Coturnix japonica: one gene and its partners. The protein of the gene in region 3 binds, or shares a complex with, the protein of the main gene of each other region. Links are inferred from orthologs where the notes say so. Each region holds a gene or a part of one and is shown on either strand. Other genes may lie near its edges. The genes, in order: ORMDL3, SPTLC3 and SPTSSA.

Evidence for each region.
Region 1: the proteins of SPTSSA (region 3) and ORMDL3 are in contact, whole or in part, in a cryo-EM structure (PDB 7CQI), measured with the Homo sapiens proteins. The link is inferred for Coturnix japonica from reciprocal best matches to the Homo sapiens genes SPTSSA and ORMDL3. Residues at the interface, in NP_612145.2 of Homo sapiens: Ile44, Tyr50, Thr51, Val54, Phe55; in NP_001307730.1 of Homo sapiens: Val36, Leu38, Ser39, Ile40, Pro41, Phe42, Ser44.
Region 2: SPTSSA (region 3) and SPTLC3 share a complex: the UniProt entries of both Homo sapiens proteins name them as parts of the serine palmitoyltransferase (SPT) complex. The link is inferred for Coturnix japonica from reciprocal best matches to the Homo sapiens genes SPTSSA and SPTLC3.

Annotation. Positions count from the first base shown.
Region 1 is NC_029542.1:3,975,873-3,985,763, reverse strand, and holds ORMDL3 (ORM1-like protein 3), read right to left. Parts: upstream 7,409-9,891; 5' UTR 7,006-7,408; coding exon 6,941-7,005; intron 4,930-6,940; coding exon 4,734-4,929; intron 4,089-4,733; coding exon 3,937-4,088; intron 3,846-3,936; coding exon 3,710-3,845; 3' UTR 922-3,709; downstream 1-921. UniProt on the Homo sapiens protein: Plays an essential role in the homeostatic regulation of sphingolipid de novo biosynthesis by modulating the activity of the serine palmitoyltransferase (SPT) in response to ceramide levels.
Region 2 is NC_029518.1:11,214,916-11,224,899, forward strand, and holds the start of SPTLC3 (serine palmitoyltransferase 3), read right to left. Parts: upstream 5,643-9,984; 5' UTR 5,023-5,642; intron 4,786-5,022; 5' UTR 4,664-4,785; intron 1-4,663. UniProt on the Homo sapiens protein: Component of the serine palmitoyltransferase multisubunit enzyme (SPT) that catalyzes the initial and rate-limiting step in sphingolipid biosynthesis by condensing L-serine and activated acyl-CoA (most commonly palmitoyl-CoA) to form long-chain bases.
Region 3 is NC_029520.1:32,506,506-32,516,600, forward strand, and holds SPTSSA (serine palmitoyltransferase small subunit A), read right to left. Parts: upstream 4,794-10,095; 5' UTR 4,570-4,793; coding exon 4,467-4,569; intron 1,611-4,466; coding exon 1,507-1,610; 3' UTR 147-1,506; downstream 1-146. Other genes in the region: EAPP (E2F-associated phosphoprotein), read right to left, coding at 7,397-7,664, 9,270-9,389, 10,092-10,095. UniProt on the Homo sapiens protein: Component of the serine palmitoyltransferase multisubunit enzyme (SPT) that catalyzes the initial and rate-limiting step in sphingolipid biosynthesis by condensing L-serine and activated acyl-CoA (most commonly palmitoyl-CoA) to form long-chain bases.

The DNA of each region.
Region 1 (9,891 bases), on a different chromosome or scaffold from region 3:
TTATAGGAAGTTGAAATAAACCTCGGTTGCTTAACTTTATGAGGAGAAAGAAAGACAAAATGGGGGAGGAAGGAGAGAAGAGAAGGGAATGGGTGGAGAGGGGAACCGTGGGTCTGTGCTCCAGCTCTGATTCAGATAATGGGGGACTTTGGGCTGTGGGAGCACTCAGCCTTAAGTCTCAAAGTTCTCAAGTCCCAGGAGGAGCTGGGGAGGGACTTTGGACAGTGGGAGAGAAGAGTGGGGTGGCAGAGTGGGGCAGCCCTCCCCCCATCCGTGGGGCAGCTCTTACCTGGAGCCTGTGGGGGGATGTGGGGCTCTGTGCTGCAGGAGTGGGACCAGCTGGTTGCGGTGCCTGCAGTGCTTGCAATGCTTGCAATGCTTGCAATGCTTGCAGTGCTTGCAATGCCTGCAGTGCTTGCAATGCTTGCACTGCCTCCTGTACTTACTGGCTTTGCTATGTGAGCCTCCTGCCAGCCCGGAACTGCCTGCCCGATAAGGAAAGAAGAACTGATATAACCCCAGCCCTGAACTTTTCTCGCCGTCACTTCTGCTGTCGTGCTGTTCCAGCAGCTGTGGGCACTTTGCACTCGATCCCTGTGTACCTTGTTCCTGGGCTGTAGGACTTTGCTTCTGTTGTGGTTGTTTGGCAGTTATGCAGGGATGAGGAGCAGGGCGTGCTGGTTAACGTAGCACGGTTGGGTTGTGGTTGGATTTGATGACCTTGGAGGTCTTTTGCAACCTGAGCAATTCTGTGATGCTCAGCTGGGGGTTGGAGTTGGACTGGGGGGGTCCCTTCTGGCCCCTCCAGCTCTGCAGTCCATGAGGTTCCAGCTCTGCCACATCCTGGTTGGGCTGCGGCCACAGTGAGCATCAATGAGCAGAAGTGCCCATGTGGGAATGCAAGGAGCTGAAGGCTGGTTATTACATGAATACTCACTTTATTAGTTTCTCTTAGAAGGCTTTACAAAGGAGTAATAAAAATATTCACACTTTGTTTTAGAAAGTTCCCTACACGAGACTTCAGCATCCACAGCAAAAAGGAAGGGCTGCTGGAAGAAAGAAACCAACAAAGCAAACCCAAACCCTAAAACTCCGTCCGATGGCAGAACGTTGTGTTCAAACAAAACCAGCCCCACCAAACTAATGGAGCTGAGATTGATCCAAGGAGGACGAGGCAATGCAAAGGCCTGCATGCTTAAAATATATGCCACTCAATGGTAGAGACATGGAAGTCCCAGTAAGAAACAGCAATGCATCCATCATGGTAACACAACTGCTGCCCACTTTATCAAGGGCCAGTACTATCTGCCATGTAACCCCAATGGGGACACCTGTGTAATTCTATGTTAACCACTCCAGCTAAACAAAGTGGGGAAAGTTTACCATCATAATGAAGGCTTTGTCCCATGAGAACTTCTGGACTCAGGGCTTGAAAACCTGCCTTTGCCAGAAGTCTGTAATTCCAGTCCATGTTGTTTTATTGATGCTCTTTCATGGAGCAGAACAGAATCAGGTGTCCGTCGTGTCAGCCAACAGCACAAATAATGCAGGCTCCAAACCCCAGCAGCAACACTGAGCTGAGCCCCAAAACTGCTCTGAGCTGGGGTAACTTGTACACTCAATACATCCTATGGATGGGAGTCGAGGTTAAAAGCCAAAGCACCCTCAATATAACAACTACTTTTGCTGCAAGAAAGCTTTTATTTCCCCCTTTCATATCATGCCTAAAGGAGTAGTGTCTCTTCTCCTGGAGGTTTACCACTGGGGTATGGGTTCATGTGCTGTCAGACATTCAGACCTGCTGGGCTGCCCTGTGTCCGTGAGCATCCCAGGCCCTGGTGCTGTTCATCCCTTCCTAATTTCCAAAGCACTGATGAACAAAATAGGTTTGTTATGAAGAAAAAAGAAAGAAAATGAAGTATTCCCCCCCCCCCCCAAAGTCATTGTCTGGTAGCTTAAAGAGTTCGTCAGCTTTAGGGTCTGTAGTACCGTAACTCAAGCAGCAGCACTTGTGTCGTGGTGGTTTAACCCCCACCCTGTCGGGTACCCCAAACTTCTGCCAAACTCTCACTGGAGATCAGCGCTCAAATCCCAACCCGGCTCTTCTTCCACCTTCTTCAAGGCTTCCTTTGCACTTAAAACATTCCCATTGCTCAACAACTGTTAAATAATGACCCCATGCATCCCAGCATGGCTCTGAGCTACGTTAACTGTTTTCTCCCTTCACTGCAGCAGCCTGCTAAGTACGGGATAGAAATAAAGCCTAATACTATGCATGGAGTACTACCAGATCTTATATAGTAGATCTTGGAGCTTCTCTATGCCCTATGCCCAGACCCTCATACAGAACTCAATATCCACTTTGACTTCTCAAGCCAGACTTGGCTAATTAAGAACAAACCCAGCACATTTAAAATGCCTTCACCATTGCCAACGTGAGACAACGTAAGCACTGAGACAACAACAAAAGAATGCAGGCTGGTGGAAGGGAAAGCATCAGCAAAACCACATTTCATCCAGCACAAAACCTGCAAGAAAAAAGCATCTCAGCCAGGAAACCCAAACCTGCAGCCCCACAACCCTCCCTTGTTCCAGCGGTGGTTGGAGGGGGATGAAGGCTTGAGTTTATTCCTATACAAAACCATCTGTTGTCTTTGGTGACCTGAGCACCCTTCTCTGGGGCAGGTCAGTGCTGCTGGTGCTGCTCCTCGGTGCTGCTCTGCTCCCTCCCCATTGGCAGCCATCAGCCCTGGGGGTCTGCGGTGCTTCGTGGAGGTTTTCATGCCGAGTTCATTGGAGAGCTGGCAGATCTCATTAACAGCTACGTGGGCTGAGGAGACCGAGGGGATGGATGGAGGAGGAGAACTCAAATCGCTGCCACCCAGCTCTCAAGCAGCCGTTCAGCTCTCACATGGTCTGAATCCATCAGTCTTTGGTTCCTCCCAGGCACCTCAGTCGTTATAATGAGCTGCACCTCAGCCCTTCATCCCCAAGCTGAGCAGTTTGGGTTGGGAGGCAAAGTTACCCAAGCTGGAAGTAACAGCTGCAAGTTGGGACCTTCCCCTGACCCAGATGGATGGTTCCGAAGGGAGCAGACAGTCGTCTCAAAGCGCAGCCTGTTTCTTCTTTCCTCTACTGCTTTGAGTAGAACAGCTTCCTTCCTCGGTGCCATAAAAGCTTTCGACATCAAACTGTGTCATTCTGTTCCCCTCCCTTCTCTTCCTCTGCCCAAGAAATGGAACCAAAACCCGAAACCATCAAATAATGGGAGAGTTTGGCTGCGTCCCTTTCCATTTCCCCGCGGATCGCTTTAAAGCACCAAAGCTTCAGAAAGGGAAGTAATGTTAAAGTGCATTTACCACAGCAATAGTACCAGCACTAAAAGCTTTCCCCCTCACCCCTGTTCTCATCGCATCTGGGATAGATGAAAACCTTCCCACGATTCATCCTCGTTGTACCTTGGAGTCTCGGTGTATCTGCATCTAATGATGATGCTGGAATAAAAGAAGCCCAGCATCCTGCTCCTGGCTAAACTCTACTCTGGAGCTTCTTTAGGTTTATTGGGCATGAGGATCCAGCATGCGGTGTATGTCTATTGGGTACTGCGTTTAAAACAGCTGCTGTGAAACTATCCCAGTGTGTGTGGGCAGGGGGGGGACGGGAGCAGGGAGGAGGAACCTCCATGAGCTCCACTGCTCCTCCATCTGCTTCAGTACTTGTTGATCCCAAAGATCCGCACTCCATGGAACTGAGGCAGTTTGGGGATCAGGACGCTCATCAGGGAGATGGTGTTGATGACGAAGTGTATCCGGTCGTACTTGGTGTAAAAGCTGGTTAGAAAATACCTGCAGAGAAAGAGAGAATGCAAAGAGACACTGAATGACAGCACGCCGTGTGCTCTGCCTCCCGCTTGCTTTGCTCCCCTGCAGCACTCACAGCACGATGGGCATGATGGTCAGGAACTTGCGGGATGCTGTGAACTGCACGCCATAGTCAATCTGCTCCCAGTGCGTGAGCAGCCTCGCCTTGCCCTGGTCTGGCGTCTCAAAAGGGGTTCCTTTCACCGTGTGTAGGAAGATGTACATGCTCTGCAGAGAACACAAATGCAGGGTGAGATGTGAGTGGTGTTACAGCCCCCCCCCCCAGCAATGGTTCAGCTTCAGACAGGGGAGCAGAGTAATGAGGGGCTGTGTAAGATTGCAGCAGCACTTTGCTCCGCTAGAGGGATGCATCACCAGCGCTGTGAACCCAAAGCAGCCACAGGAAGCTGAGCTGGCTCTGCCTTGGCTGCTAAGAGCAACGCCTGTCTGGGCTGTAAGCAAAGGGAGCTGTGAGATTACAGCACTCGGGATTATTGCACTGTGCAGCAGCAATGCTCAGTGCTGTCTAAAAGGCAGAAAGGATGCGTTGCTGTCTTATAGATAAGCAATGTTGGGCTCAGACATGTCTTTAACACACAGCCCTCGCTGCCCTCAGCTCCCCTCTGTTCCCAAGGCCAAAGGTTGAGCAGGGCAAGGAGCTGGGTGAAATGCAGGCGGCTGTGCTGCACTCAGCCCCCAGCAGTCATAGCTCTGGGTTTATGTGTTCATGTATTTTTATATCACTGGAGATAAGACAAGCAATCCCAAGGATGGATTCACCACTGCAATGCTCTCAGATGTTAACATAAAGGACACGAAATTGATGGCCACAGCTCCAAAGTATTTTGCCTCTTTGAGCTGGGGTTGGCTTACCATGTTGTGAATGATGTTGGTAAGAGTCCAAACCACGGGGACGCTGAAGAAGGGGATGCTCAGGAGCACGACGTGCAGCAGCCCAATGCCAAGGATGTAGGACAGCCAGATGCCCCGGCTGTTCATCACGCGGGTGTTGGGGTTCACCTCGCTGTGTGCTGTTCCCACGTTCATATTGGCTCTTGTTTTCACCCCTCTGAAACAAAACCAGAGGCAGGTCCGTGCTCAGGTCACTGTTTTCATCCATGTTTCACAGCTTACTGGGGAGCTGAGAGCTGTCTTACCAATGATCAGGGATTACAGGAAAGAGCTGCTGTAATGCAGGATATCTTTGCACAGAGATCAGGGAAGGTCTTGCATAAAACACTCAGCCTGTTTCCCAAGGAAATAATACAGCCTGTCCCTTGCACAGCAGATCCCAAAGCAATGACTTCTCCCTGATGTTCAGCCTCGTGCTTTTGCTGCTTTGCTTTCCACAGCTGAAAACCAAAGCAAGCTGCTGTTCTGTCCAGCTCTTGGTCTCAGGAGGCGAGTCCACGCCAGATCTGACATTATGCTCTGGATGTTCCTGCCAGCTACTCCGAGTTCCCTTTCTAAGTGCTGGGCCTGGTTTGTTTCAGCAGCTGCTGTGCTCTGAGCCTGCCTGCTGCTCACTCACACAGCACGTGTGCAGCTCTGGGATGCTCACTGCTGAGCTGATGGATGCTCCCATGTCTCTACTGCCACTCAGGGAGCTTCAGGTCTGGAATAGGTTTGTGTTTAGGAGGAAAGAGCCTCTGGATCTGCAGGTTGTTGGGTTAGTGGCTGTCAGCTCTGGGTACAAAGCAGCCTGGCAGGGGGGCAGGATTGGAGCTGGAGGTCAGTGCTGGGAGAGCAGCTCCATCCTCAGTGTGGCCACAGCCCTGAATGGCTCTCAGAAGGAAACATGGGGGTTGTGCTGAAGTGTAAGAGGAGGTGAAGATGTCCCACTATGGGGGGAAAGGGAAAAAGGGAAGGAAGAAAAGCAACCACCGCTGTGGAATGCGTAAACAGGAGAGCTGCCTGCCAGACAGGAGAAATAATCCTCCCAGATATTGGTGAGGCCTCAGCTGGAGTAATGTCCAGTTCTGCTGGAGGGAGTCCAGGGCAGAGCTGTGAGAATGAGCAGAGGTGTAGGAAAAACATGACCTGCAAGGCCACGCCGGAGGAAACGGCTTTGTTTAGTCTAGAGAACACTCAAAGGAGAGCTAATGGATGGACCCCAAATGCATGAAGGATCCCTGCAGAGAATGGGGACCAAACGTGGGGTGAAGTGTGCAATGGAAGTTCAGAGCAATGCAGGAACACAGAGCTGATGTGGGATAAAGTGCAGCTTCTGTCTGGGATGAACCATGGCTCTAATGGCACTAAAAACCAATGAGCAACTGCTCCGTGCTGCTGTCTGCCAAGCAGGGCAGCTGTGCACTGCAGTGGGGTGGCAAAGGGCAAAGCTGAATGTGAAGCAATTCTCCTCTGCCTCAGTTTCCTCACTCACTGCAGTGATTGGGGTGGTGAAGCTCTCATTAATACAGCACAGGAGGTTAATTTGTTCTTGCAAGAGAGCAGTGGGGAGGTCAAGCATTAGGCCACGCGATAACACTTTGTGTTCTTCCAATTTGGCCTTTTCCAGCTTCAAAAAGCCTTTCCTTGTTGAATCTTTTTCCATTTCCAGACTCGTGTTTGCAGCCCTGGCCTGAGCTCTTTGCTCACTTCAGATTGCACACTGAGCTTTGCACGTTATTGCACAAGCCCGGCTGAGAGCAAGCTCCCAAACACAGCTCCCAAACAAACACAGCTCCCATGCACAGCTCCCCGCCCCCAGCCCAGATCCCTCCTCGTTTGCTCTCTGATTTTACACTGGGGATTTATTCACCTGCAGACAGAAAGAAACCCCAAAGCCAACCACAAAAGCAGGAGGACGTCCAGGAGCTGCACTGCTCTGAGCTGCAACTTCCCAGCTGTGCAGTGTTGGGTCCTGGCAGGGCAACGTTCCCCCAGGCTGAGGGTGAAGGTCAGCGCCGTGCTGACGTCTGTGCTGAGCACAGCTGGATGTGAGCAGAGCCCTGCCATGGGGGATTGGGGCCTTTCCTCACTGCTCACACTGACACACACACGGGTCCCGCTGCTGTTCTGCCCTGTGGCACAACTGACACCAGCAGCCCCCATAGAGCAGCCCGTGCATCCCTCACCTCCTGCTTTGCCCCCAAAGGAGCATCCCCTCCTCCTGCTCCGTTCTGCCACCCAACAAACACATCACCCCGGTTGCTGTGCTGGCTCCGCAGCTCCTGCTCGGGGCTTGATCAGAGCGCTGCAGAGATGGGGAGGGCGGCAGGTGCTTATCTCGGTCGATCTGCTCGTTCCCAGCCACGCAGGAGATTCTGATCCGACGGCCGGAGCCGCGATCCCAATCTCTGGCAGCAGCAAATCCCCAACTCCCGAGAGAACGAGTATTTCAAAGCCTTTCTTTGCAAGATGGCAACGCCGTTTGAACGGGCGGATCGGAGACGGCAGCAAACACGGCCGGGATCGGACGGCGGTGGGAAACGGCCGCGGGGTGGGAAACTCCGCACACAAAGGAAGCGCTACAAGTGAACGAGCTCGGTGCGACCCGGAGCTGCACACAAAGCCCTGGCCGCATCCCAACAGCGGCACGGCACGGCACAGCACGGCACGGCACAACACGGCACGGCACAGCACGGCACAGCACGGAACGGAACGGAACGGAACGGCTCGGCACGGCACGGCACGGCTCGGCCCTCTGCCCCGCAGCGCCCACCGAGCCCCGCTCCCACCGCCCGACCCTCCCCGTCTCCCATCCCCGACGGCCCCGCAGCGCGGAGCTGCACCGCGTGCCCCGCACAACCGGCCGGTCCCGCACCCGGCCCGCACTCACCGCCCGGCCCGGATCCTCCAGCCCCGGCTCGGCCCGGGATCTCCGCCGTTCTCCCGGCGGACACCTCGGCACGGCCCGCCCCGCCGCCCGGCACCACGGGAGCTGTAGTGCGGCAGCGCCGTGCGGGGATGGAGGGGGGCGGTGCGGGAGCGGAGCTGTGCGGGGCAGCGCTGCGCCGTGACGGTACAGCGGGGCGGCCGGGGGGTCCTTGTGCCCTTTGGGGTCGGTGCTGTGCGTGTTCTGCTCCGGTGTTGGTTCGCTTCTCTTGTTGTAGCCATAATTAACGGCCCGTGATGCGTGAAGCACCGCGCGGTGTTCGGGTGTAACATGGAAATGGAGTTAATTTGCGGATTAACCAGGGAAGAGAGTGATGCAGAGTTATACTGAGTTATACCCACTGGACATAGTGCACTGTGTGCTGCTGGCTGAGCAGCTTTAGCTCTTGGGGTTCATTGGAGTTTTGGGTGGGAATATCGGGATATCGGCTCCAGCTGTCGGCATTTCGGATCCCCTGCATTTTGTGCATGGAGGGATGCGGTCACCTCAGCACCTGCAGCCCTGCTATCCGTGCTATCTGTGCTCAGTGACCCCGCAGCTCGGTGCATGCACTGCACCATGCATGGCTGAGGGCCGGGGGCTGCATTGTTGGGTACCATCTGTCCCCGGCCTTTGTCAGCGCAGCCATCGCTGCTCTCCCCACGTGCAGCCATCTGTGCAGGCTTTGTGCACGCTCAGCTCCTGCCGGGGAGCAGCGGAGGGTGCAGAACGGCGGAGCCGCTCGGCGGGGTCTTTTTCAGGCAGCTTTGGGGTCGTTCGGTGCTGAAGCCCCCAACCCCCCCCCCCCCACCAGCTGCTCGTAGAGCTGAGCGCCTCGTGTGCGCCCTCATGGGCCGGAGGATGGATCCGGCACATCGCTGCTGCTGGGTGGGACCGGGGCATCCTGAGCATCACACAGCAGCATCTCCCTGCCCACAGCCACAGCTTCCCCTGCCGGCTGCTCCTGGAGGACCTCGGCCTTGTGGGGACCTGGAAAACCCACCCGCATCCTCCCGGTGCTGCAGGGATGCTGTAGCGGAGGCGGGATCCCTCGGGAGCAGCCCTGCTTTGCAGGGGAGCCACGCACACGGCAGCTCTATTTTTATCCCCTCTCCTGCCTGGCTGAGCAGCTCCCTCTGCGCGGTGACATCTAATTTAGCAGCTTCCCCACACCCCGCTGACTCCGCACGTGAGGGGGAAGCACAATGCGGCGGCTATTTTTAAACGCCCATAAATATTAATCCCACTCGGTGATGCTGCAGCAGCTTCTCTCGCTGCTGGTGGGAGTGCAGGGCGGGCATCCTCTCCCTGGGCTCCCCAGCCTGCATTTATCCCCCCCCTCCCAGGGAACCCCAGCGTTTGGGGGTGCAGTTGTCCTTGGGGGGGGGGATTAGGGCCAATGCTTGGAGTGTGCAGTGGGATCCACACTCCCCTTCTGTTTGCTGGCCCCACTGCCGGCTCGATGCTGGCTCTATAGAGCCGTGGTGGCAGGGAGGAGCTGATGCTGGCTGATTTTAGCCAGCCGTGCCGCTGCAGCGATGGGAAGGGGTCTGCACAGGGCTGTGCTGCACTGCAGCCTCGAGTTTTTGGGCTCTGCGTGGTGTGGGAAGGATGGAGACCCTGTGGCATCGCTGCTGGGGTGAATGGGGCTTCTCCAGCCAAGCAGGGAGAGATGAATGGGCTGAGGGCCTGGGAGCAGCCAGTGCTTCCCCAGCTTCAGTCCCGGCCCCATCCCAGCACAGTGTGGGTCTCTGCTCCAGCCTCAGGTGGGGACACGGATCTTCCTCCTGCCAGCACCGGATGGGAGCGGACCCACACGGTGTGTGTCGACCTCTGGGCCCACAGACCCGCACTGGCAGCCCCGCACCGGGCCTGGCTCCAGCCGTGCTGCGCTCGGGGCGGCTGCCGTCAGGTTGTGTTCTGCTAATGGGGCCGAGACGCAGCCCAGGCGCCTCGTAACCCGTTTATCCTCCCCGAGCAGCGGGGGAGTCTCAGCGCACGGTCTCACCAAGGAGAGCCGCGGACCGACGTCCTTGTTGGCAGCACGGCAAGGGCACGGCCTTCGGCCCCACGTCCCCGGAGCCCGGTGTGCCGTAGGGACGAGCCCCGGTACCAGCTGCCCGCTGGGGGCGGCCCCGGACCGGAGCACCGGAGCCCGGTAACGGCGGCCGCTCTCCATGGTCCTGAGCCGGCCCCGGTGCCGGTCCACTC
Region 2 (9,984 bases), on a different chromosome or scaffold from region 3:
GAAGTTTTTTCTCTCATGGAAACATTGCTGTCCAGTGCTGTCCCTCAAGAGACAGTTAACTGCTGAAGTTACTCTGGACTGGATGCATTGTAATGGCGAACTACATGGGATCTGTGTGCAAGTCCCTTTAAATTTGGGTAAAAGACTTCATATTCTGTGTGCACGTGCAAGAAGACAGCTAAGTTGATACAACGCTTTTTGACACTGCAGCTGCTTGGTTTGAAGCTTCTAGTATTTTAACACTTACTATTTTACTGTCACAAAGACATACAACAACTGGGCACTGCTGATGCATCTCCACAATCTGCTTTTGCTGCTGGTCAGTAAGTTTAGTCCTACTGGAAACATAGAGGCAGACTATGGAGGCCAAATTGTTTCCTACTGGTGTTTAGGTTCCTTTGTGCCGACTGAACAGCTTCACCTCAAATCAGTGACAACCTGCCCGCTCTCATGCCTATTCGTCATAAATGTGTGAAAACAGAACCCAGCATAGTTAGTAATTATCCCCTCATTATGCCAATATGCTTCTGAAAGCATAATCACGATCAAAAGGCACGTGATTCTCCTCTCATTGCTTTCTGTTTGCAAGTTTCAACTTTTTTTTTACTTTTTTATTTTATTCCCCCTGCTAATAAGGATTTTTTAATTTGAAAATCAACAACAGCTTTTGAAGCCTGTGCCTGTCCTCATGGTAATGACAAAACTCCCCTGACCTGAGGACTCAGACTCTGCAGCAGTGAATAGCAGCTGAAATAGCAGGCACGTGGAAACGCCACAGAGAAGGACACATGAGAAGCATCTGAAGCTCCAGGGGACTCTTAGGGATAATTTGGTGCCCGTTTCAGGCGGCTCAGTTCGTACTTCAGTGAGGGTAAGTTTTGACTGAGATTAGTTAACTGGCAATTTCCCGTCTTGTTTACAGCACAATCAAAGAAGCTGTGCAACACACACCTGAGCGCACTGGAGTCAGTTCAAGGCAATAAGCTCAAGCTCAGTGTGTGTCCTCCGGCTGGAAATTGTAGAGCTTCCCTGGAAATACCTTACTGGCCCCTGGAAGGCAGAAAGCAAGAGGTCACTTTTCCTGCTTCCTACAGAGGAGGCTGCCAAGAGCTACTCTAGATCCATTCATCCATCCAGTGTAAACTAATGCCTTCTTGTTAATCTTATGCTAAGACTGATCTCAAATTTTGCCTGTACCTGCATGGCCTTTATTTTCATCCCTTTCATTCCTGTCTCTCCAGTCTGTTTGTAAGGATGAATTGCCCGTGGCAGTCTCATCCTATCCAAACCTATCCAAAGTGTTCACATTCTTCCTCATAACCACACTGACACAGTCCTCTGTCCCATCAGTTCCAGATAATCAGTCACTACAGCACTAGTCACAGGACTGGAACACTTTTCCTATGAGGAAAGCTGACAGAGTTGGGCTTGTACAGCTGGGAGAAGAGAATGCTCCAGGGAGATCTCATTAAAGCCTTCTAGTACTTGAGAGGGAGTTTACAAGCAGGAAGGGGACCGACTTTTTACATGGTCTGATAGCCATGGGACAGGGAGGATGGCTTTAAACTAAAAGAGGGAGACATAAATTACATGATAGGTGAGAATTCTTTACTTGGAGGGCAGTGAGGCCCTGGCACTCCTGCCAAGAGCTGTGGGTGCCCCATCCCTGGAGGTGCTCCAGGCCAGGTTGGTGGGCCATGGGCAACCTGAGCTGGTGGGGGGTTGGGGATGGGTGGGCTTTGGGTCCCTCCCAACCCACGAGGTTCTGTGACTCTATAATTTTCGAGAAATAAATAACATTTGAAATGTTAGTAAAACTGTGATGATCCTGGGAAGGTATTTGTTTAGCACACTGCACAGAGATTTTAGGAAGCAAGAAACTGTTTTACATAATACACTGTCTTTTTGGCAGAACTGATTAGAGCATACCTGCACTAGTCATTCTACAACTACCGTGTGTATTGGCAGCTGCATCTGAGACCTTGAAATGCACAAAGGACACTCATAATTTATGTCTGGTTTACTAAGTAAGGCAGCACCGGAGTTAGGAACGGTTAATTTGTGCACTGTGCCATTTTACAAGGCAGCAACACCACTGGCTGACTGTCACCTTCAAGGGAGAAAGCTATGACTCCTGTACAAAGATACTGCTGCTAGAGGTGAGAGCATCCATTTACCAGCACTGAAGGCCCAACCACCCCAGTGCAGCTTGATGATCAATGGCCACAGTAGCTCAACACTGACCCCATGAAAGCTCCTCAGTCCCCTGGCAAATTGATTTGACTTTCAAGGACAATTAAACTGTTTGCTCCTCCACTCAGTCTGTTTGGTGCTGTTAAATTCCACTGCAAAATGAGTCACATTTGAAAAAGTGGCATTGGTGACAGATAACTTTTTGTAATTACATCCTTTTATCTCCTTTGATAAGTTAACGGTGAGCAACCACAATAGTTAGCAATGCAGATAGCGTGCAGCTACTGACATCTGAGTTAGCAGGAGATGAATTTACACATCAGAGCTGAAGTTTCAGGCTTCCAGAAAATTGAAGTTAGCCCTTCCTGCATAGAGACCTGCAGCCCCAAAGCACATCTGCCACCTCTGTGGTAACACAGCCCTTCCTCCCCAGCTCCACACACCACCCATAGGCAGGACACAGGCAGAGCGATCCTGCTCAGATCCTGCTTTGCTGCATCGCACTGCTGCAGTTTGTCAGACAGAAAATCTCCCTTTGGGCAGCCACAGACCTCTGCAGCGAGCCTGAATCCAAGCCCAGAGCTCTCGCACTGTAGCTCCTCTGGCACAGAAATCCCTACCAAGTTCAGACTAATCTGAAGGAATTACCAACAAAACTGAACACCCCCCTCCACGCACACGGACATTTCCAAACCTCTCCAGGTACCACTCTGTGTATTTCATCCATTTTGCCTTTTCTCACTGAAATGCAGAAGAATGAATCTTTCTTACAAAGAAATCAAATCAGATTTGAAAATTAAAATAAAACAAAACCACCAAACAAATAAAAGCAAACCACTCCCTTAGGAAGAAGCCATACCCAAACCAGGCAATCCATTGCATATACATTTCCCCCAGAGGGAGCATGTGAAAGCAAACAAAACATGGCAGATGTTAGTCCTGGTGTTCAGTGTGCTGCTGGAAGGTGCACGCATCCCATAGCAATGAGAGAGCAGAAGCCTACAACACAGCAGCCAAACACCTCCGGATGATCTCTTCACAGTGCACTGTCTTGAAATACTTCAAAATGATGTAGCACACAAATAACCTAAGCAAGACTGGATTTTCCTAAGCAAGACAGTGTGATAAAACCTTGTGATACACAGCTGAAATTACACTACCTGAAAAGACAATATCTCATCTGCAACATTGAGTATCAAAATTATTTGATTTTTTTTTTTTTTTTCCCATCAGAATATGGAAAAGACAAAGCACATTAAAGCAAAGTACCTTCAGAGTGAAATATAAGCTACCTTGCAAATATAGAGCTTTGGAAATGTGAGTTGTCTTCATTTTTTTAATCTCTTTGAGTTAACTAAATAACTACCTGAGCTTGGTTTTAAACAACAGTGACAGCCCTGTGGTTAAATGCTCAGATGTCATTAATGATATCCTAAGTGACTAAAAAGGACAAAAAACAAACCCAGCTCATAGTTTTTGCGTGTTGCATTATATCATTGTTTGACTTTAGGACGTCGGAGTTTGCTTTATCAGGATTTGACAGCATCTACCTCACTAAGCAGTAGCTCAAACACGCAAAGACGTGATAAAAACACCAAAATGTCATGTCTGTGAACTTCAAAGCAGTACAAGACTCAACTAATTTAACATCTTTGTACTCTTAAGGGAACTGCTCACCCACTGATTCATCTTCTGTTCATTCAGGATCATCCTGTCACTACTGCTTGGAACACCAGTATGTTTCTCTCTGCATAGTAAAAAAGAAATGGGAAAAAAAAACCACCAACAAAAAAACCCACACAATTACAGATATAATAACAAGCTTTGTGGCCTCTGCTGAAGGCTGCTGAGCTCCCTGTGTTCTTTGCAGGAGAGCTCATTAAGCATGCATCACATCAGGACCAGAGCAATAGACGCCTGTGCAAGTGTGGGGCATTTAAACAAGAAGAAGGATTCACTGCCAAGGAGAGCAGTGATAAGGGTGGCTCTGTGCTTCTCAATTGGTGATGGTATGGCTGACTGCTATCTCACCTGGGGCTGTTCTATCCCCATGTTCAGGAATGGCACTCTAGGAGGTGACAGTGGTTCCTGGTACCTTTTGCTCAGTAGAAATAGAAAAACACCAACTCAGGAAACACAGGGACATAGCTATCCCATAGGATATGTCCTGTAACACCACTGGGACAGCAGGGGACATTTATTTTACAGCATAAAATAAGGGCTGTAGGGCTTTTCGTGCAGCATACCCCATTACTGGGAAACACTGACAAGAATTGGGGAAAACGTTCCCTAAGGAGAAAGCCTGTATAAACCCAAATCCCCTCAGTAGCAACCTATCCACATCACTTGTGTGGTGATCAATGAGACATTCAGCAATTAACATTTGCTCATTTATGTATCTTCTCCTCTGGGAGCCCTTCGGTTTTGTGTGTGTGCAGGAAGGCAAGAAAACTCACCTTTTAAAACTTACCCTTTTATTTCACCTCTTTTACTGAAGAAAACGTTGCTCCTCTTCAAGTCATATATCACATCAGATATTCTGGACATCAGCAATCGTGCATCCAGCTGCAGCATTCGGGTTCCTGCTTTGTGCTGAACACAGGATGTAAGGGACCCAGGCATCATATAATTTTATGGAAGCTCAGTGGGTACAAGATTTCACTCACACACATGCACACAAAATGAAGAGAGATAAACAGCCAAAATTAGAGGAGGCTGCATTTTCTATGGGCGAATATTAATTCTACAGAGAAGTTAATAAAACAAATTTTCCTTTTAAGTAAGTGCATTTTCACAAAACCTTTGAAAAAACAAACAACACAAACATACCTGACAGAATATCTGAGTCTTCCTTCTTTGATTCCCCCTCCTTCTTTTTCCCTTTGAGGGATTTATTTTTTTCTATTTTTTTGTTGTCACACCTGTAAGAATATTTGTGTTGTTCTCTCCCATGTATTTTGGGTACTGTACAGCAAACTAACACAGAAGCAGAAGACTCAAGGCTGTTGTTTCTTCCTGTCTGGGGGGAACAGGTGCACAGATCTCTGTGGCATTCAGTGGGAATAGCTCCTTAACATAAGGGGGACATTAAAATCAGCTTTTTGTACCAGTGCTCCACTTTTGATACCAAAATACCTTAAGCAATAAGCTGGCACAATAAGCACAGGTATATCTGCAGACCCACAGACTGAACAGCACAGTGAGCAGGAAAGGATTAACACATCAGGAACAAAACATAGCAAAAAAGCACTTTCCCCCCTACTTCTACCCATGCAGCCTCCCCAAGTACTAAGAGAGGGGAAACGCACTGCAGACACCTCATCACACCCAGTGTCACATACCATCATCACCTTTTGGATGTGCCAGCAGATAATTTAGATAAAGACCAACAGGAACAAGGACAGGCAGAAACACTGCCAGCCCCAGCTCTGAGGATGGATGATAGGTTGTTACCAGCATTTCCTAGGAGGCTGCAGTTGCGATCTCCCTTTTTCTTTTCTGCTTTCACCTCCCAATCTACAACCTTCAGAAAGCGGAGTTTAAGTCTCTTTTAAGTTGATGTGCTACAAAGGAACTGAAAGAAAGCCTGAGGGGGAAGATACTGGCTTTGGCTATTTGATCCAGCTTTTTTCATTGCTATTCTATGCCCGGTTCTGAGAAAAAGAAATCCCTTTATCTTATGATTCCTTACCTAATCAGAACTAGGCTATTTTATCCAAATAGCCAAGGCACGTTGGTTAAGTCCTGCACTGATTTTAGCCCCTGGATAGTTAGACCTAAAAGATCTTTCCAAGAGGACTAGTCAGAAAGGAGAGCAGTTTCTGCTGCTGCTGTCACAAAACCCTACCTTTGTCACAAAATATTACTCTTCCCATCAAGAAGAAAAGCAGTGCAGCAGCATGGGGAGGGACCATGGGAACACAGGCAGCTATACCCTAAGCTGTAACTGGGGCTCTGCATTTTCCTGCACAGGGAAAGCAACAGAGCTGCAACATAGATGGGCACCATCTGATGCAAGTGGTGGAGGAACCAGTGAGGGGAAGGGTGTTACTGGACCTTATTCTCACTAACAAGGAAGGACTTGTTAAGGAAGTAAAGGTTGGGGGCAGCTTGGGTTGTAGTGACCATGAGATAGTGGAGTTCAAGATCCTGAGGGGAAGAAGCAAAGCAAAGGGTAGGATTGCTACCCTGGACTTTAGGAGAGCCAACTTTGATCTCTTCCGGGACCTAGCTATCCCTATACCTTGTGCCTCTTCCAGGGACCATTATCACACAGAGAAAATCATTAAATCATAATCAAAAGGTACAAATTTTGTTATTTTATTTGTCTTACAAGTATTAATGCCAGAGCAGAGTACTTGCAGACAGGGAAGCTGAATTTAGAATACAAATGAAAAGAACTTTCTTTAGCCGTCCTACAGTAATAAGCTGTGGAGTACTGTTGGCTCCCAAAATAATGCAGATGAAACTGAGCCATCATTACACAGTTGGATCCCCAGCAGCAGCAGAGAGAAAAAGAGTGGATTTCAAAATAGTTTTGACTACAAGATGAAGCTGCACCCTTCAGTCTGAAATTGATTTGGAAGATTTGCTGAGCAAATGAAATGCTCTGCCTGCATTTTGTCTCTGCATTCTGAACTCACTTCCCTCCTCCGTAAACATTCCCTCGCATGCTGCTCCATCTTATTCTTTGCAAAAAATAACAAACCCAAACCCGTACACTGCATAAATGTTATTCAGACTCCTCTGACCCACCACAAACTCTGAAGCAATTCTTAACCTAACCTCAGACAGCGGTAACACTGAATATAACTAGACCATTCCTCCCAGAACAAGGCCTGCTCAAGCCAACATACACTTCTAATAGCAAGCCCTACTCCAGACCACTGTTCTCCATCAATTTCAGAATAAGGATGGGCTGACAACTTATCCTGAATCCTGCCCTCACTCTTATAACTGCCAGTATCTGCAAAATGAAATGTGTCATTGACAACCCTCAGGGCAGCAAAGAAGACTCTCCACTAAGCAGGGCTTACCTGCTTCTTCTTTCCTCTCAGACTCCACGTAAATCCTGCCCTGACCTTTGCTTTAGTGTGTGGAGGGTGACTAATGTGCTAACACTGGGAAGTTGCCTAACTCCTCTTCTAACACTGCCTTATACTGTCTTACCTTTATGTGCTGATAACAAATGAAGCAGAAATAATGACTTTTTTTTTTTCCCTTTTCTTTTTGTATCAGAGCATCCCATAAGACCTTGCATAAGGTCTGCTGCCTATGCTGCCCAAGGAGATGCTGAGGCATTGCCATCCTCTGTTGCTGTTACTCACGCTTTAGCAAAGGCAGGCAGGACCCTGAGGTTTTCTCTAAAACAGAGATGCAAAGATGAATTTACTGCTTCAAGAAACAGAACTGGTGGTGCAGAAAGCACCAATTACCGGATTATGATTTGCTTTGGAGCTTTACTGGCTAAGACTTTCATAAAGGTGTCGGGACTCGGGATTCATTTTTTAGGGTTTTTTTGGTATGATTTTGGTCTAATGTGGTCATACTGTCTGTATCCCATTCTTTCATGTAAACGTTTATTCAGTGGATTTACCTTGGTTTGGTTACCTTGGTAGCTGTTGTTAGTCTATGTAGCTGCTCCAGGCAGGTGACACCTGGGTGAGGAATGCGTGTTTCCTCAGAGCAAGCAAAGTACTCCAATATCTGGTCATCAGCCCCCCAAATTCCAAGCCAGGACATCACAATTGGGATCTACCAGCTAGCAGCACAGATAGCAGATGCTTTGTATCAATCGATGAGGAAGCAGCAGGTTTTGGAGCAGGAACCTTTGTGACTTTTGCAACAGAAGCAATATTTCCACAAAAGAAACCAAAAGGAGATTGGTCAGATGATGGTGGATCATCTGCTTCTTTCTAACATGACTCTCCTTGAGAAGCAGACTAGATTGCTGGCTGCAAATTCTGCAGAGATCCCAGGCAAGCATCTGGCAGCTGTTCAGTCTGCATCACCCCAACACTGAAGCAGCCTGAATTCACTTTCACCTTCAGCTGTTTTCAACTATGGTTGAAACAGCACGCTAAAAATAGCCTTATATATCTACACACCTGTAACCTTTTCTTTCTCAAGAAAATCTTTTTTTTTTTTTTTTAAGTTAAACAAAAGTGCACGAATAGACAAAAGAAAAGGAAAACAACAGGAGAAGCCAAAGCATAACGGATGAGGACTACAAGAGTCTCAGTTAATGAGCTCATAGCATACCTTATTTGTCATCTTATTATACCATAGAAGCTTCCTGCCATAAAACACATTTCTGAAGTTCAACTTACATCCTAATGTGCATCTGCAGGAGAGAGCTTTGTACTTGAGAAGCAGAGTCCCTGCTGGTATTGCTATGGCAAACAGGATTTTCTATTGGAAAGGAAAATGAATCGCTGAATGAATATTGAATAATTCCTCCAGAAAGTAACAGCACTAGAGCAAGATCAAAACCTACAGTAGCTTTACCTACTGTAATGCAGCCATATCCTCAGGTTCATTCCATACAGGTGGCTCATAACAGCATGGCACGCATAAGACTATTGAGTCAGTTCTCTACTACAAGCCTTACTTGAGCTGAGGAACTGAAGCAGTAACTCTGTCTGAGGTTCATGGGACAGAATTAAATCAAAAGTAGCCTTGTTCCCCAGCAAAAATTACTAAATGCCTGCTGTTCACACTGTATGTTAAATTTCTGAAGTCCTCACCTTCTAGAGCATTTCCAACAGGTTTCTATGGGCCACTCCTACCCCTCCGTCAATGCTGCTTCTATCTGTGACTTTGGGGGGACAGAAAGAGTAAACATCAAAATATCTGTTAGTGGTGTGTGATGTGTACACTCAGTGACATAGAAATTAGGAGGAAAACAAATAACAGTCAGATTCAACCAATCAAACAACAATCAAATCTAGTGAAAGGCAGCTGCTAGTGGAGAGAAATTTTAAGCTGCCACATAGAATTCATAGTTAGAATAAACAGAGCTGCTCTCAATTTTCATCCAGGTAGTCCTGCTTCTGTCATCTGCTGCTTCATCCCATCAAACAGAGGGCTACTGAAAAGGTCAAGAGACTCAGCTCTCCACTGCTGGTGCTGTGCTTACCATCTATCCCACAGCCTGGAGGCACCAAAATCAAACGTAAACTTAAGAGTGTGCAGCTGGGAGAATGGAATCAAGTGAAGAGACTGGTGGATTGTAGATGAAAGAGAAGAAAGCCTGGGAAAAGATGAGAGACTTTGCATAGCCCTTCCAGAAAGTCAGAGAAGAGTCTAAGCTGGCTAAAACAAATGATGTTATCAGATTAGAAGATTGTTTTGTAGTATTCCTGATCAAAACCAAGCAGAATTTCCTCCAGTATACTTTTAAATTAAAGCTTTTCTACTGTTGAGAAAATACCTGCAATTAACTTCATTACCCTGTTTCTGGATGTCAGAAGTCACTACTGATTTGTCCTGTCAGAGGCTGTGCCTAACCATTACAATACACATCTTATTCCAGACCAATCTGTAAGAACAAACTGTCCTGACCTCCATGAACTGGCAGATATATCCTCATTGAAGCCAAATGAAAACTTTTAAAATATCTTTCCGCCGTCTGCTGTTTGTCACTGTAGAATATATGACTCCTCACTATCATAGATGGCAAACAGATCCAAAATGCAAAACTTAGACATGTCGTAATTCAGAAAAGGGAGAAGGTGCCTGCGGGCAAGACAGTGTGCATAGATCTGCAGTGAATGCAAAGCAACACACAGA
Region 3 (10,095 bases):
CCATTTATAGCTCCAAGACAGAGTTTCCATCAGAGATGCATAAAGTACTTAAATGAAAAAAGGTTGGTTTTTTTGTTCCATCTGTGTGCATTAGCCATATAAACCTAAAAATGTATTTATAGAACAATTTAGTTGTACAACTTAGGTAAAATTCCTTGTTATTTAATTCCTCATTAAAAGAATATTAAAATCACATAAAAATGTAACAGTACACGTTATTACCAGGCCATTAAATTGCAATTTTTGGTCAAGTACTAGTCTTCATTTTTTTACAGGTCTGAGAAAAGCAAGCAACATTCAGAAACAAACTAACTGCTCAAAGAAAGTTTTGCAGCAAAGCTCTGCTTTTAAAGTTTTATTTTTTAAACAAACAAGCAAAAAGAAAAAAACTTCAGAAAGTCAGGTTGGCACCATCTTACATTTCAGTATACAAAACTGAAGAAAACCCCTATTAAAAAAAATTAAAATTAAAACAAAAAAAAGACAGGACTTCAGTCAAGTTTTCAGCTACTTATTGCTGTAGTTGTAACTCGAGTCCATTTAAAACCCTTTTGGTCATTTGTAGAGAGAACGCATTTGGAACGCTAGCGGCGATAGAAAACCCCTTTAAAACATAGGCTGTTACACTGTTGAGTGAATATTAGCAGAAAACCATCACCAACAGAACATAACAAAGCACTATGTAAAATTACAATTTAATTGGTTGTTAGAAAAAGTGTTGATTTAAAGTACTATCCCAAAGCTTTATGTGGGCCTATGTCAGCAAAGTGCTTCTGTTCCCACTATGAAAACACCACAACCACAGCACTTCTTCAAGCAGAAAGAATGCAGCCTCCATTGCTACAGTGCTCTCTCTCCCTCTCTCACTCTCCTCCAACACATGGAGCGCAGAAACTCAAAAGCATTGCTAATTCCAAATTCAGGTGATACGCACAAATATACTGTTGAACAAAGTTTGGACAAGAAAACGGTACACCTGAGTTCAGTCGTACAAACTAATCTGTGTAAATAGTGTTAGACGAATATATCCATGTCTCTAATATGAATCTAGATGTATTTTCTTACAAAAATGCATCGATAGAAATACCCAGGCAAATACATACCATACAATAGCAAAAGCTTTAAGCCCCATTTAATTAGACGATTTTCTGATTAAAAATAGAAGGCAATTAAGATTTACTCAAAATTACAATTAAGAAAAGCTTTCACAGTGCAATATCGAAACTGTCACAAAGTTAAGAAAATACTGATATCAAAGTACAATCACAATGTTAAGGTAGACAAAACTACTATACAAGGGCATATCTTGTAAAATCAAAAGGAATTAACACAACATAGGGGACATCTCATGCCCCTGCTCTACACATCTCGTTTCCTAGTCTTCAGAATCATCATTGTGTCTTTCCTTTTTGGACAGCGGTAGAAGTCTTGTTAAAACTAAGAGGTTCGTTCTTCTTTGTCGACCAGATTTCAGAGCACGATAACTTCTTGAACATACACTCTTCATCACTGCACAATCTCAAAGTAGTGCAATATCGCCATGATGTGCTGAGGCATGAACACATAGCCCGTGTACAGTGCCATTCCAACAATGGAAACTAGCATTGAATCTGAACGACAGGTAAGGAAGAAAGCATTTGAAACCAGAAGTACATTACAAGTCATATAAGCACAGCACTACCATTTTTCCTATCTCATAACATTATATTTGTAAATCTTAAGTACTAACTGTATTCAACAGTTACAGCTGTAGGAAGAAGCAACAGAACACTGAAAAACAGAGCATGGGTAGGGGTGATAAAGTGAATTACAGCAGGATGCTTTGTAAGATATCCACTGCCTTGTCATAGACACAACAGTACAGACGGAAGCGTGGGAAGGAAGAAGGGACTGAAAATGGGCACTGGGGATATATGAATTACGCATACATCCTCCAAGGTCTTAAGCAATACCTGCAGTAGCCAGCACAATCAGTCAGGCAGAAAAGTCAACCATCAGGAAAAAAAAAAAGGAGAGGCAAAAACAGAAGGATTATATGAGTACCTGTACTGAGTAAGAGCTGATATTTGTGCACAGCTTACTCACTATTAAGCAGAAAGCATTAAATGTTGGTATCAACTTACCAGAACAGAATGACATAATACATTTAATGTATCGTTCACAAAACATCTGGCATGAAAGTTGTACTGCAAACATAAAGCCAGGAAAACAGTGTTCTCTAGGCTTTAAGTCACTACATTATTTGGTTTGCTGCTCTATCAGCTCAGACCTTTTATCACAGGCAAGGAGCTACATTAAAGTGTTGACAGCACTTAGGAAAAAAAATAGGCTGCAAGGGTAATGAAAAATATGGGCAACATTGTGACACACAGCTTTCCAGACATTTCAGTCCCAATGCCTCATAGGATCAGCATGATTGGAATAAATCTGTGCGTGTAAATAAATATATGCTTGCTGGTATTTTACTATGGCAGAGCTGCAAAACAAATCTCACATGAAGCCATCTGCTAAGCAATGACCCCTTCATTCAGCTGAACTCCAAATGGAAAGTCAGAGAAGTCAGATGGCTTACAATGTAAACATACAACTAGACCTTTGTCATACTCCAGGATTCTCAAGGCTTTATCTAACAGAAACTATAACATCAGACTACTCAAAGATTAGGCCACTCAAAGTTTAAGACTTTAGAAATTCAAGAGCTGTACTCTCAACAATAACCTGCAGAGATTCAGAAACACTATATAGAGCTCTGAAGATTAACAAGCACGATAACACTGATAACAGTACTCAGGTTTCCACAGGTGAAATCAGAGGAGCCGTGCATGCTCTGTAACTTAGAGAAAAGTAACCAGAGCATGTGTGCAACAAGGGCTCTGTAACTGACTTCCCCAAGAGGTAGATGTGGTGCTTATTAGAGCATGCCAGCTTCTGGGTGTATTTTTAGTCCCAGAAGATTGCACAATGCAAGACACTAAAATGAAGGTCAATGCTACATCTACGTTCCAGTATCAGTGTTCCCTACACTTCTTGAATACAATAAGCTGGAAATACACACAGCAAGTCTCTGGACTGCCAGCTCCAAGGCCATGTGCCTGTGTGGTCCAGTGTGGTCCAGGCACCACAGTGCCTGGCAGACTTGGCCCACCAGCAGTGACAGCATTCCCTCTGAGGACAGGGACAGTTCTGCTCATCTGATGCTGCAAACAATATATTGGGATACTCAGGACACTATTTTAAGTGGAGCAACGATCACTTCACTGCAAAACAAGCACTTTATAAACATGCACACACATCTGTCAACTACTTAAATGCCTTGTCCAAGTTAAGAAGCTGTCCAGTTAATATGAAAGGAAAATACATATATTTGTTTATAACTGATCTAGTTGTAAGGAAAGCAAAAATGGAGTGTTTTCAGTGATACAGACACAGCATAAACAGATTTGGGTGTTCTAATCAGAAACAGAGTACTCTGAAACTAAAAACCGCTGCCTCAATAGCTGAGCACTGTGCATCTGTAAGAATGAGAAAGCCAAAAAATAGTAATGACTCCACTTTTACCAAGTGTACATTAGAAAACTCTCTGCAACCTGTAACCAGCTACAACCTGGGAAACCACTCTTATATAATGAGTTCCTTTACAACTAACCAGGAAAAGCAGCTTTTCACCATTAAACCCTTCTTGATGGGTGCAAGCAGTGTTAATGTTTTGGCTGGTTTGTCTCTGTGCCTCTCAGCATAAACTGGAGATGGCTCAGGGTCGTTCATGAGACATCATTTTAACTCAAGATCAAACCAGCCACGCTCGCAAAGAACACCACTGGTAATAAATAACAGCCCTTAGGACACCGCAGTGCCAGTCTGACAGAGCTGGTTGAGGAAGCTTGCCTACAAGTAGTCTGCATACAGAAGCCTCACATTAGCATCTATCCAGTTCTTCCACTCCAGAAGAGACAAACAAATTCACCGGCTCAAGGATTAAATGCTCTTCTAACAAACAGCGTGTGACACAGCGCAGCCCAAACCAAAGCTCCCCAGCACACACATTTACTTTCCACGAGACGACAAAACAGAATTAACTCAAGAGCTGTGCTGAGCAGAAACCATGGTGCTCCAGCTGAAGAGTCAGGGGGGAAAAATAACTACCGCAATTCTACGGGAGAGAAAAGAATAAGAAAAAGATAATAATGATAAAAGAAAGGCTGAGGAGAAAGCACGGCAGGATGTAAACTTGGCCCCGGGCAGAGGCGGTCGGACCGTGCAGATGCCCGTGACAGAAGGCACGCGCCGGCACTAAGGCTCTCCCTGACTCCGGCCCCGCTCCGCCCGTACCGGCTGCAGCCCCGCCAGCCCCGCACACCGCTCCCAGCTCCCCGCCGCCCTCGGTACAGCCCCGGGACACCGTCCACATCCCACCCGGCCCCAGAGCTACCCGCCCGACAGGCCACGCGCCGCCGGCAGAAGGATACTGAAGACGGTGCGCTCCCAGGGCTCCAGCACGTAGCTACAGGTGATCAGCAAGTACTGGTAGTACAGCCACGACATCTGCTTCCAGGCCGAGCCCAGCGCCATGGCGCGCACCGCGCTCTCCCCACCCGCCGCCGGCCCCGAGCCGCCTGCGCCGGGCCCAGGCCGAGCGGAGACGGGGGCGGTGGCTGCCCGGGACCCGCCTCCCTCCGCCGTCGCTGCCGACTGGCCCCACCGCGCGAGGCCCGGCCCCGGGCTGCGGCCTCCCGAAATGGAGGCGCTGCGAGGCGGGCGGGGCGCGGGTCGGGTCGGCAGCGCCCCGGAGCGGACGGAGTTGGGAGCGGACACTGAACGCCGAGGCTGCCCCGCACGGCCCCTGGAAGCGGGGCGGAGGGAGCGGACACTCGGCTCCGTCTCCTCTCCGTCCTCACAGCGCGTGTACGGTACTGACAGTCAGTCCTGGAGTCGGTTACAATGGCCGTGAGGCTGCCTGTATTCCCGTACAAAACAGTCTCTGCGGATCGCAGAAGAAGCTCGCTTCACATACTACAAAACCCAGCCACTCTCAGTCCCCGTAGCAGAACGCGTTGATTTTCCCCTACAGAATAAATCAGCTGTATGCGCGAGCCTGATCCTGCTTAGATCACATCACATCACACGATTGTCCGTCACCATGTGAGCAGATCTGAGTCATATCTGGAAGACTGCTGCACCCAATTTTCTCCCATCCTGTTTCATTTAAATGGACATACTGGGTATTAGAGATCACCTGAAGATTGCGTTCAACGTGATTCATCATATGTGTTAAAGGGTTCTGCAGGCGGCTTCAGTACCTTTAGTATTCAGGGCAAAGCCCACCCAAAACCACTGCTCAGGTAAATGTGCAGTCTTTCAACATGGACTGACTAGATCAGTCCCACAGGAACAGCGGAAGAGGCAAAAAGATCAACTTTTTACCATAATGGCTGCTAACTTTGCCCTTCTGAGAGGTGTTTGGGGCCAGATGCTTCAGTGTTAGAAACTTGTAACTGCTATTTTGACTTTTGGCAGCTTACGTGGACAACTGAGTTTCAAATGCAGTAGTTAGAACACAAACCCAGTGAAAAGCAACACGTGGGGAAGTCAAGCATCGCGATTAAGTACAAGGTACAACCAACCCCTGTGTGCTGGAGCCAGGCCACCAGGAAAGGCCTCATGCACATGCTAGGTGTGCACCACAGATGAGAAACTGCTGTCAGCCCTCTGCCATCATCCTGCTCAGTAAAACAGCTTTACGTTATGTCAGTTCTAGTGCAACCCTAGTCTTGCAGCTGCCCCACACCTAATTTAACCAGTGCTGTTAGCACAGTGGAAAGCAAGGAAATACAGTCACAGCAGGGTGCTCATATTAATTATTTACAGAGCTGTGAATTGCACCTACAGCACCAGGAGATAACTGTGCAAAAGAAAACTAGCTGGCAGAGACAACCAAACACTGTCGTAATTTATGTGGAAAGATCTGATACGGGTTTTAATCCAGCTAGAATACATTCAGACATAATATATCTAGATCAATTTATTTCAGCACAAGAAGAAACGAGCGTATTTATACGATTCAATACCCCCACATAGCTGGCTACAGCAGCTGTTGCCCCTACCCAAGACAGCTGTTGCTTGTTGTAATTGACACTGGAGGAGTCTTGTGTTGTTGACACTGCTTGAAAGATCTGCAGCCATGATGAAAACTACTTTTCTAAATAAGCACATGAAGTCCAAGGACAGGTGGGGTTTTTAGCACATCTAAAGCACTACAGCCTTGCACAGCTGCAAGAGCAGTATCGATATGAAGCAAACATCTCCCAGTCTCTCCTGCTCCCATGTCTCATGAAAACAGGAACTGCAATTCGGGCGAGCAAGAAGCAGCAGCAAGCACTTGAGATAAGAAGAAAGGTAATGTGGAAGCATGCCAGCTTCACCATTTCCTGCCACATCCACCAGCTGTTTGTCCAGGTCCTTACACCGTTTCAATTTGGTGCATACTCAGAAGGCAGCTTTTGCTAGTTAGCCCCTTAATAAATGGACACTATTCCTCCGTATAGTGAGTGTCTCATTCTTCACTATCTTCATCTTACTCCTGCTTAAGAATTGCCATCAACAATTGCTCCTCCTGCTACCACCTGCACTGACTTTTGAGCCCCTGAACAACATCCTCATTCTCCTGTTTTCAGCAGCTCAGTGCAACAATCTTACCCTGACACTAAATAGCTTTCATGCATCACCTGGACTGTGAAGACAGTTTGCACTGAGGCCAGTATGCCCTACAGCAGAGTACAGCCTCCATTACATCTGCTCCTCCACAGTGTTACTAAGCAAAATTTTCCCTATATGCCTCCAGGCTTAAAGCATGTAGTAATAGTCTATCCCACTTCAGATGGCATCATTTCTGCCAATGTGCCAGTCAGACCATAGGTAGTAAAAATGATATAGAAATCTTGTCTTAAGCCCAAAATCCTCACTGAGAGCTACCAAGTTTAACAGTTCCATTGAATAGAATAGTTTCCATTCCATAGAAACAACCAATGCAGCTAAGGGGAACCAGCTGATACAGTATTTATTCTAAGCAGTAGTTTTAATACACACTGAGGTACTGGACAGTACATACACAGGGAATGATCATAATACACAGATTTTACACTGTATTTACAAAACATTAAATCCTTGACAACGCGACCACCTGACAGTGTAGAAGAATATCGCTCTCAAATGCAAGCAGTTAACAGGATTCCCTTCATAAAAAAGGAATACAGGAATAGTGTCAGAAATCCAACCACTATAAAGCTATCTGATAGAAATGTACATTTAAGAGAACATATTTTAAAAAGATGGATGTGCCTGCACTTCTGATACTTCACACAGTCTTAAACAGAGCCCTTTTTTTTCCTGCTTTTGCATATTAGCTGTGGCTGGCTAGAACATTGAAGAAGTGAAACACTTCATCTTTATCCATCACTGCCACTTCAGTTGAGCACTCAGTACATAATACTGGATGATACACTTCCTCCTCTTCTTGATTTGACTGTACAGGAGTAGTAGTTTCTTCACTGTGTTTCCTCTTCTTGTTTCTTTTCTTTTCCTTCTTTCTGTATTTCAGGATTTCCTCTTTGTTAACAAAGCAGTTCATCACAAACATCGCCCTGTATTGTGTTTTGTAAGATTCGTGTCTAGGGAGAAGAGGAGAAAATGCAAGTCATGCCACTGGTAAAAACTCTGCTTCCACAAAATAAGTTATCATCTCTGGAAATCGGATTAGAGATAGGAAGTGCCATTGCAAATGGCTGAAAGCTATAGAAATATCAAGTTTTAGAAACAGAACAACAGGCCCAACTATAAAACATCACAGAAAGAATTGAAGCTGTCTTGGTCTTGAGGAACATGTTTAAAAACACACTGGTTCTCACTGAAATAAGCACCCCTGGAGTGCATCTTGGTACTACAAAATGATGCATGGCTGTTCAGAGCTAATGATTGGTAGGCAAAGAACTTGAAGTTGTGAATGCAAGTGACTCAAATATGGGTATTTATAACCTAAAACATTTCAAGCTTGAAACTCTGTATAATAAACAATGACACGTCACATTTTGAAAATCCAGTCTATAATAAAGTATGTTTTTCAGCAGTCATCTGTGTATCAACTGCACAGCTGGAGTAATTAGCACATTTCAGGTCTGCATTAACACACCTCTACAGCTGCAGTTTCAGAGCAGCCTAAACCAGCATCATTGGCTGCAGAAGACCTATCTTGACTTTCAAGGCTTGTCTAATGGCAAACTGAGCTATGTTAGTTTTTTGAACCCACATAGGATCAGTCTGACAATAAAAATGGACAGTTTTCTGTCAGCTCAGCAAAGTGAAATACTTAACTATAGAAAAGAGTCAAGGAATTCCAGAACCAGCTAAGGAAAGAGAGTGGGAAACAGCACCCAACACTGAGATGACTTCAGGCTGCTGGGGAATTTCATTTTCAATCAGCAAAAGTACTCAATAAATTAGAAGCAGTTTATTCCTCACTTCACAGAATTTCTTTCTCCTTTATTCAAAATACAAAGGCTCATCTTCTGCCCACGCTAGCAGTAGTAATTAGGGTTGTAGTGCAGTGAAACTCTGGAGAATAGCAAAACATGCTATGAATTCACACCTAAATGCTTTCCAGGTTCTACTTAACATAATTATATTCAAAAACACAACTGCTAATACTCAAACCAAGAAATGATGTACTGTCTTGACTTTGCTTAACCCTCTCCTAAAAGACACATTAACATGAAAATAATAACTACACTGAAATAACTCTTCCTCTAACCATGAAGCCAACGTAATTAGAAAAAAGTATACATCATAGAATCATACAATGGCCTGGGCTGAAAGGGACCATAATGATCATGTAGTTTCAACCCCTCTGCAATATGCAGGGTCACCAACCACTAGACCAGGCTGCCCAGAGCCACATCCAGCCTGGCCCTGAATGCCTCCAGAGATGAGGCATCCACAACATCCAAAATGAACTTCTAGTTTAGTCTCATTTTTTAAACATATTCCTTTATCCACTATGCTGAAGTTCTTCCTTGTTCTTCATCTCCATGGCGCAGGTTAAAATGATCATCACCATTCTTTTAAACTGGCATTCACATACACACCTGATTCACATATAGCCACCTTCCCTTTGTAAGCTCCACCGTGCAAGACAGAATTAATCAAATTGTTGAACATGCTAAAACTGCAAATGACTGAAAGAGAGACACTACAGAAAGACCTTATTGTTCATTAATTACCTCTGACAGTCCAGGCATAAAGTTGTCATGCAAGCAGGACAATTCAAAACAGCATCACTGTTTGGAACTGATGAAGGTTTTGTCTGTTGAGGCTGCAACATTCTTCTTTGATTACGGTACCTACCAAATGAAGGATATGGAGGATAAAAAAAGTGAAATTACACATCCTTGCTCATCAATTTAACCTTCAAATATTTTTTAAATTAAAATACATTGGTAAATATCTGTCTCCTTCACAACAACTCTTCTCTAACTAAATCTACCTAAATATAAGCACTATGGGAAAAAAACACACACATGAATTTTTCCATTTCATTTGTATGGAGGATTTTCATCCTGAGATAAGTATGTGGATTTGTGCCCAACAATCATTTTCCTGGAGAAGACAAGTATTTCAAGAACAGTCTCTCTAAGTAACATACATTGATGTGCTTTTCAACAGATTTATGTCTCTCTTCTGCTGCAGCAACCATTTTTCACCCTTCAAAGAAACCTAAAGTAAAGCAGTTTTGAGCTATTCCTATTACAAGTATTTCATCAACATCACAGTTATTTTGATAAGATCTATAGACAAAACAAACTTAGTGAACTAGGAAGTTTTGATTTTGAAAAACTGCATATTTTAGCATTTTGTCACTTTAAAGAGTCTATTTCCATTCCATATATGCAACAATTTTACAAGTTTTTAAATTCCCTGTGCTGTAAATTCTAAGGCACTAAGTGAACACAACAGCAAAGGGTTTTTCTATATATTCACCATGTTCACAGGAATTTTGCAGTTTATCGTAAGCATCCTACCTCCTATTATTTACAGTCTCTTACCTCC